Linked DNA regions of Danio rerio. The protein of the gene in region 1 binds, or shares a complex with, the protein of each later gene. Links are inferred from orthologs where the notes say so. Each region holds a gene or a part of one and is shown in the gene's direction. Other genes may lie near its edges.

Region 1 (3,514 bases):
GCAAGATAGAGGCAAGAGATTTAGAATGCAGAATTGATGACATTTGGGTACATTCTGTTTCAACACCAAAAATAAAAATGGGGACATTATTATAAACAATGGCTTAGAGTTCTGAATATTATACATCGCTCAGAACTATGTAATAACTCCAGGATAATGTACACTCTCATAATGCAATTGCATTGCAGAAGTTTACTTCACATTAATTGTCAGGGTATGGGACGTAAGGCAGATGCTCTGCCATTCATCTTCTGTTATATTCTCACTTACATCTTGACACCATGCCAAAACACATTACTTTCCTGGCAGTTAACGGAAAACAGTCTATTAAATGAACACATTTCAAAAGTACATGTATTCATCATTTTCAGAATTATTAATATTTGTTTATTTTAATAGAGTGTTATTTAAAGTCCACATGAACCAGAAGCTGCAACTTTTTTTTTTTTTTTGTATTGTGACGCAATACTTAGAAAAACTGAATATTAAATAAGCTAATGCTGAGTTCAGACTGCATGATTTCAGCCCTGATTTTGACTGGCCGACAGGTTTTGAGAAATCGTTGTCAAATGCCTGAAATCACAGGCAAATCAATGCTGGTTTACGTGAGTGTCAATCACACAGAGTGAACTTTTGAGTACGCAATCTGAGAGAATCGTTGATGAGTCGCAGACACCCGTGAGATATTTGGCATGCTAATATCTGGAGCTGTCGTTGATTCAAAATCATGCCGTGTGAAATGTATTCTGTTTGAAAATAACATTGCGATGACCTACAGCCAATCCACTGCAACCACTAGTATGGGTATCTGCAGGCCAACGGGAGGTTGGGAATAAGTTAAAAATATTTATTTCAGTCTATTTGAACCCAAGAAATGGGGTAAAAACTAGTTTAAATATGGCAGGAGCACCCGTGTCTGTTTGACGTATCATCTGAGCAATACCACAACCAGGTTGAAAAAGAAAAAAGTTAAGGAGAAATTGCCAATTCCCTTCAAAAGTCAGGTGAGCAAAATAAGTACGTTACACCCTATTAAAGGCTTCTTTCTCAGTATGTAGTTTATGACAAAAGATATACTGCGTGACCTCACGTTGTTTCCATGTCACTTCCTGTGTGTGCTTGGCTGTGAGCCGTAGTTTGTGAACTGAGTTGTTGATGATTCCTATTGTAAAGTCATGTAGTGTGAAACCTGTTGTCGATCCATTTTACTGTGTAAACAAAGCAGCCACAAAACGCTACCCCAGATAGTCATAGAGTGTGAAAACATCTGTGACATGTCTACTTCGTGCAGTCTGATCTCGGCATAACAGTGGGAGTGGCTTGTTTTTCTACTGCGAGCTGATTGGATGTAGTACAGTAGGCATTTCATTCAGAAAGATGGGGAAAAGGGTTTTAGAAGAGTTACCTAACAGGCGAATTCTCCTCATCACTTCTGTTTGTTGTCAAAACTGACAGTTGGAGGGGCGTTAAATATCTTAACCACGCCCTATACCTCAAAATCATGAAATTTGGGAATTAAACATTTTTAAGATTTTAATTTTGCATTACAGGAGCATTCTTTTTCTTAATGACATAGATGATTTGTTCACCACAAAACTGTCAATGTCAAAATCATATAGATGACAAAACCATTTAAGCTTAAGTTGAAGCACAAAATACCTGAATATCCAACAGATGTAATGTGTGTCCTCCAACAGATATATGGCCATCATTCACCCCCTGCAGCAGAGGATGTCTGCGACACAGACAAAGGTGGTGATCGGGGTCATCTGGATCCTGGCTCTTCTGCTGGCCTTCCCCCAATACTACTACTCCGACACTGACCAGCTGCCCGGCAGGGTGGTCTGCTACATCGACTGGCCCGAGTACACTCTCCTGGACTTCAAAACAATGTAAACATCTCTATTACACTCAAAAGAATACTTCTGCTGCTTGTTCAAACTAATTATACAAAATTAGTTAAAACAACACAATTTTCAAGGTTTTTTTTCATTATTTTATGTTAAATCCACTTAATTTTTTTTAAAATAATTGATTTATGTTAGGACAACATGAAGTAATTGCGTGGAACCCAGCATTTTGACTTTGTATGATATGTTTGTTTTTTTATAATAACCCATGCCACCATTTGCAGATATTGGAAAAATATTTAGGTTGAGTATTTGTTTTTCAGATTTATGTCTGCAGGGTACAGAGAATTTCCTCTCCAGATCAAATTTCACCCATATTTTCGGATATTGCTGGAAATATTACCTTTATGACTCTCTAATTTGGAGTAATCAAAAATCAGCTCTGCTTGTTTTCTCCCCCCGTAAGTGTTTACTTATATAACGACAGAGAGGAGCTTCTTCATTACAAAGAAAACATTAAACACAGGAAAGTCGTGATCCTGAGAGAGAAAAAGAGAATAGGAAAAAGTGCAAGCCTATTAAAACCAACATAATTGGAAATCTTGCCTAAGGGTGAATGCAATGACTTTACAAGAGCAAACGCTAATGACTGTTGCTTCTAAAGAAATCTAAAGTATATATTCTCTAAAAGTTTGCCTGTGTTTGCAAGCTGATTTTTATCTTAGGTGCTTTGAAAATGGTGCATCAATCTGTCAGACAGTCTAGTCTGATATTAGCCAAGATTATTGTACAAAAAAGATTTGGTTGGGGTCACACTGCTTTTAAATGCAGAGAGGACAGATGTTGGGGAGGGTGTACAGATGTGCTGGTTGTGATGTCACAAAACCGCTTAACTCATGAAATCTGATTATACAAATAACTCTGCTAAGCAATCACATAGACGATATGCCATGGAGTGATCTGAATATCAGGTACCTACACTGAAGAATTTGCTCATTTTGAAGTTAAAACTTGACTGTACACTAACAGTCTTAAGTTGTTGTTTTTTTTTTGTTAAGGGTTTTCCTCTTTTGTTCACAAAGGCTAAATATATATGATCAACAATATGGTTAAAAACTTACAAAGTTTTATATTTTTACAAATAAAAATTTTAAGCAGTCATTGATCAAGTCTATTAATCTATTAATTAATCAAATAATCAATTGCTCACTGTCACTTGTTCTAACTCATTCCATATGCTGACTTGCTTTTACAGATTTTTGTGAAAAGTAAGTATATGAAATGACAGAATTTATTTCAGTTTGAAATCTTTTGTAATATTATACAAACCTTTTGAATCTTTATGGAGTTTTTTTTTTTTTTTTGTCTTTTTCATTTATTTTTTGCGATCATTTTAAAAGGCAAACAATATAAATTCTGGCAAAGGTGCTTTTTTATTTATTTTGAATACTTTGAATATTTAATTTGAATAATATTATAATATTTTGAATAGTTAGTATTTTACCCTTATTTTTTTCATAAACTATTTAACACTTTTTTTATTGCTTTCAAAAACAGTTAACAATAGAGTACAGAAACTTACAATGTGCAAAATACATTTTAAAGAAGGGTGAAAGAAAAAATAAAATAAAATTGAACAAAGTAAAAAACTAAAAAAGACCTGA
Region 2 (4,072 bases), on another chromosome or scaffold:
TTGATTAATTGATTGAATAGTTAATCTCACAAGCTTTTTAAAGAGAAGTTTGTTTATGAATATGCATGCCTATTAACAAACTATTGAAGTATAAAAACTTCACCTTTTTAATCTGAATGGGAAAGGTTAATGCAAGTCAAAGTTATTCATTTAATTTGACAACATTTTACAATAACACAAATACTAGTTTTTTGTTGTTTTGTTAAGTATGCAGATTAAACATGGACTGTTCTTGAATAGAGTTAGGAAGTCAAACATATTCAGTTAAATTGATTTAATCAACCTTTCAAATTAGGTAAACACTAGTTCTATTTTTGTATTTGGCGTCACGGTGGCGCATTGGGTACCACGATCGCCTCACAGCAAGAGGGGTCCTGGGTCAGTTGGCATCTCTGTGTGGAGTTGGCATGTTCTCCCCGTATTCGAGTGGGTTCTCTCAGGGTGCTCCGGTTTCCCCCACAGTCCAAAGACACGTGGTATAGTGAATTAGGTATGCTAAATTATATTTATTAAAATTAAAATAGTCCGTAGTGTATGTGTGTAATTGAGAGTGCGTTTCCCATAGATGGATTACAGCTGGAAGGGCATCCGCTGAGTAAAACATATGCTGAATAAGTTAGCGGTTCGTTGCGCTGTGGTGACCCCAGATTGAATTAATTGAAATGAAATGAATTGTTAATTAATTTTTGTTGTTATTTGACATGGGTAAAATAATTTCAAAGAATTGCTTAAAGAGGTTACTGTAACAAAATGTTTTGATTTACGGTATAAACAATTTTTGAAAGTGCTAAAACATATTTTATGTGCGTTATTATTGTTACGACTGACTTTTTACCAAAATAAGAACCCAAAACATCATCCTTGTTTAAGCCCTCTACAATCCCATTCCTAAACCCTTTGTGAGTTGCTCACCTCCTCTGACGTAAAAGAAGTCTTAAACAGGTCATCTGCATTCATATTTACTCAGCTGTAGACGGAACTTCGTAAAACCTTCGTCGTTCGCCAGTCATAACGTCACCTGTGTGCAGTTTACATACTGATCAGCTCACGACATAAAGGCACGGACTTCCCAAACAGGGACCATCTAAACTTTAGTTACTTCCTCTACCCGACGCGAACGAAATATTAAAGAGGAAAGCTATTAGTCATTGTGCCTTTTTAAAGCAATCTGACTAAAACATTTATTTGTTTTATTGATTTGAAGCGTCGCAAGGAACCTGTCACCTCCCTGTTGCTTTGCTATAAAGTCGAGCGCGCGAGCCAGAACGGTCACGGAGACGCGCATCGTACGCGCGCATTGAAGAACTGTGTTATATGTGGAGGAAACTGTTCACGTACAGCTGACAGAAGAACACCGTTCAACATACTCGAACAAAACGACGTTTAGCTTGCGTTTTATACTTTAAAGTGCTTTAAAGGAAAAAGGGAAAGTTACTGGGAGCAACATGAAATTTATTTTACCGACTGTAGTCATTTTTGTTGTTTTGTGTCAAGTTTTTGGAGAGGAATTGGGTCCAAAAGAAGACCTTGATTACTGGACAGGCAACAATCAGATACAGGTGAGTTTTGAAATCTCTAATGTTGTATAAAAAAGTCTTGCAGATCAAAAAAAACCTACTGGATTTATTTAACATGCTTAGGGGTGGATTTAAAGATTAGTAGGCTAATAAAAAAATATACAAAAATGTTCTATTCATGTCTATATATTTATTAATAACTATTAAAACGATATAAAAATCGTATTTTATTTTATTATGTTGATTAAATAATGTTATTGTCATAATAACAATTGCAACAAAGTTAGTGACATTTCACATGTAGCAAATTTAATTTATATTTTGTTTTAAATAAATGGTTTACCATTTATTATTGAATTACTGTGAAATATTTTGTTTACTGTGACATTTTACATTTACAACTACAATTATTTGTTATTATTGATTTATAGCCACAAATTCAGAACTAAAGAGTATCTGTAAACATTATAAATTCTAACATACCCCATGAATGTAACATACCTAATTAAAATGTAATGTAATACATGTTATATTCATAATGTTAATTTTAAATGAAAAATAAGTATGAGATGTTTGTATCAGTTTTCATTGGGTTTTCAGTTAGTCTGGATTCAAACACAAAGCATGCAGGTCGCTGTCCAGTGCTGAATCAGTCAATGCTCTTATGGCTTGTTTGAATGGAACACACGTTTCTCATTTGACATTGCGGGTTGGAAGACAGCCAAGCACTTATATCTTAGGCTTTTTGTCTCCATAAACTGCATCTTTGCAAATAGCCTGCGCTGTAAATGATTTCTGTGTTTAAAATCTGTAATAAAAAATACTATCATTTGGTCAACTCTCTATTGGGATGAACTGAAGGGTACAATTTGTGTCAGAAACTGCTGCTATTTCATGCTGGAGGTCTAACGTTCCACTAATCAAATCATCTTTCGCAGGATGAGTGGATTCAGTCGGATCCTTTCAGGGAGATACTGAGACGCATGACGAGGAAACCCCGACCTCATCAGTTCATCGGTCTGATGGGGAAACGGTCCTCTGGTAAGACCACACATGCAAACTGTAAAATATTCAGATATTAAATAAAATGCGTCACATTTTAACAGCGCTTTGACCTATAACTGACATCTCTTTCATTCTTCCACCCCCACAGCAAATGCACAGATCACACGGAAAAGTAAGTGATCTATGCAAAAACACTTCACTGCATTTATTATTTGTTAAATGCTCACATTTGCCTAAAAGCAAAGACACTTCAAGAGAGATTTACATATACAATCATGCAAAGACATATTCATGATAGAAGAAAGGAGACTTTCAGCCTTGATCGTTTAAACAAGCTCAATGATAAAATGGAAGAGTTAGAGATACATGATTCCTCTTAATGGAAGCTCACATCCTCAAGGTCAATTTCGCAGAAGAAGAAACAAATGTAAAGACATTAAATCCTTGAACTGCACTCTAGACTTAAACAATATCACAGAACTGAGCGGAGCAGATTACTTACAAATTGCAGTCTGTCCCTGATTACAATTTACATGATGGAAATTATAGTCAGTAATGCAGAGTAGATTTTTGGTCATGTGTTTTGACAATAATTACTTGACATTACTGGATTACTTGAAGAATAAGTGTGGCCTAAATTGTTCTGAATGGGATTATTGTTATAAGAAACTATGAAATATATTCCAGTCTTTGTGTTTAATGTTACAAAACATTTCCCAAACTCAAATAAATTAAGAAACTGTATATGATTTATGAGTTAATTAAGTGTTATTAATTAATTACATCATAAAAAGTGTTAAATTAAAACATGGAAACTTCCAATTTTGTATTATTATTTAGTTTACCTTCATGTTAGTACCAATATATTGCTGATCCTCAAAACTAAACGTCATCACAAACTGTAAGCGTACATTTCTGGAATTTTAAAATTTTCTATTGGTCAATATAAGATAAACCAATCATAACTACAGCATAAATAATCTATAATGATGTAATCTATAAAAAAAATAACTAATTTTTGATACATTTTGAAAAAAATAACGCTACACATTTGGAATACAATATATGTATGTATATATATGTATGTATATATATATATATATATATATATATATATATATATATATATATATATATATATATATATATATATAAAATTTGTTTTTTTACCCTAATTGTCTTCTAGGGCATAAAATCAATTCTTTTGTGGGGCTGATGGGTAAAAGAAGCCAAGAAGAGCCAGGTAAGAACTGCTAAACCTTTTTATTTTGTTTCAGAATATAATTGTTTGGGTAGTTTAATAAAAACATCAATAAACATACAGTGCTCTACAGCATATATAGAGTACACCCCTCACAGATCTAAATTTTACATTCAAATTTTTTATAGGAAGCTATACACTCTTATATTTGTGAATATACATTAGATTAGTCATTACTAAAGCCAAATCTGGAGCTTATCTAACTAAATGATTCACGATAACGGTCCAAAAACTAGTACACCCAAATTCATATGCTATAGAAAAATATTAAATACAAATGTAAAAAAAG

Evidence for each region.
Region 2: the proteins of tacr1a (region 1) and tac1 are in contact, whole or in part, in a cryo-EM structure (PDB 7P02), measured with the Homo sapiens proteins. The link is inferred for Danio rerio from reciprocal best matches to the Homo sapiens genes TACR1 and TAC1. Residues at the interface, in NP_001049.1 of Homo sapiens: Gln24, Phe25, Asn85, Asn89, Tyr92, Ala93, Asn96, Trp98, His108, Asn109, Ile113, Gln165, Met174, Arg177, Val179, Cys180, Met181, Ile182, His197, Val200, Phe264, Phe267, Phe268, Tyr278, Leu279, Ile283, Gln284, Tyr287, Met291; in NP_003173.1 of Homo sapiens: Lys60, Pro61, Gln62, Gln63, Phe64, Phe65, Gly66, Leu67, Met68.

Annotation. Positions count from the first base shown.
Region 1 is NC_133180.1:28,782,630-28,786,143, forward strand, and holds part of tacr1a (tachykinin receptor 1a), read left to right. Parts: intron 1-1,659; exon of another isoform or gene 1,660-1,697; coding exon 1,698-1,892; intron 1,893-2,253; exon of another isoform or gene 2,254-2,389; intron 2,390-3,514. UniProt on the Homo sapiens protein: This is a receptor for the tachykinin neuropeptide substance P. It is probably associated with G proteins that activate a phosphatidylinositol-calcium second messenger system.
Region 2 is NC_133194.1:28,062,666-28,066,737, forward strand, and holds the start of tac1 (protachykinin-1 precursor), read left to right. Parts: upstream 1-1,267; 5' UTR 1,268-1,445; coding exon 1,446-1,559; intron 1,560-2,455; coding exon 2,456-2,558; intron 2,559-2,670; coding exon 2,671-2,694; intron 2,695-3,708; coding exon 3,709-3,765; intron 3,766-4,072. UniProt on the Homo sapiens protein: Tachykinins are active peptides which excite neurons, evoke behavioral responses, are potent vasodilators and secretagogues, and contract (directly or indirectly) many smooth muscles.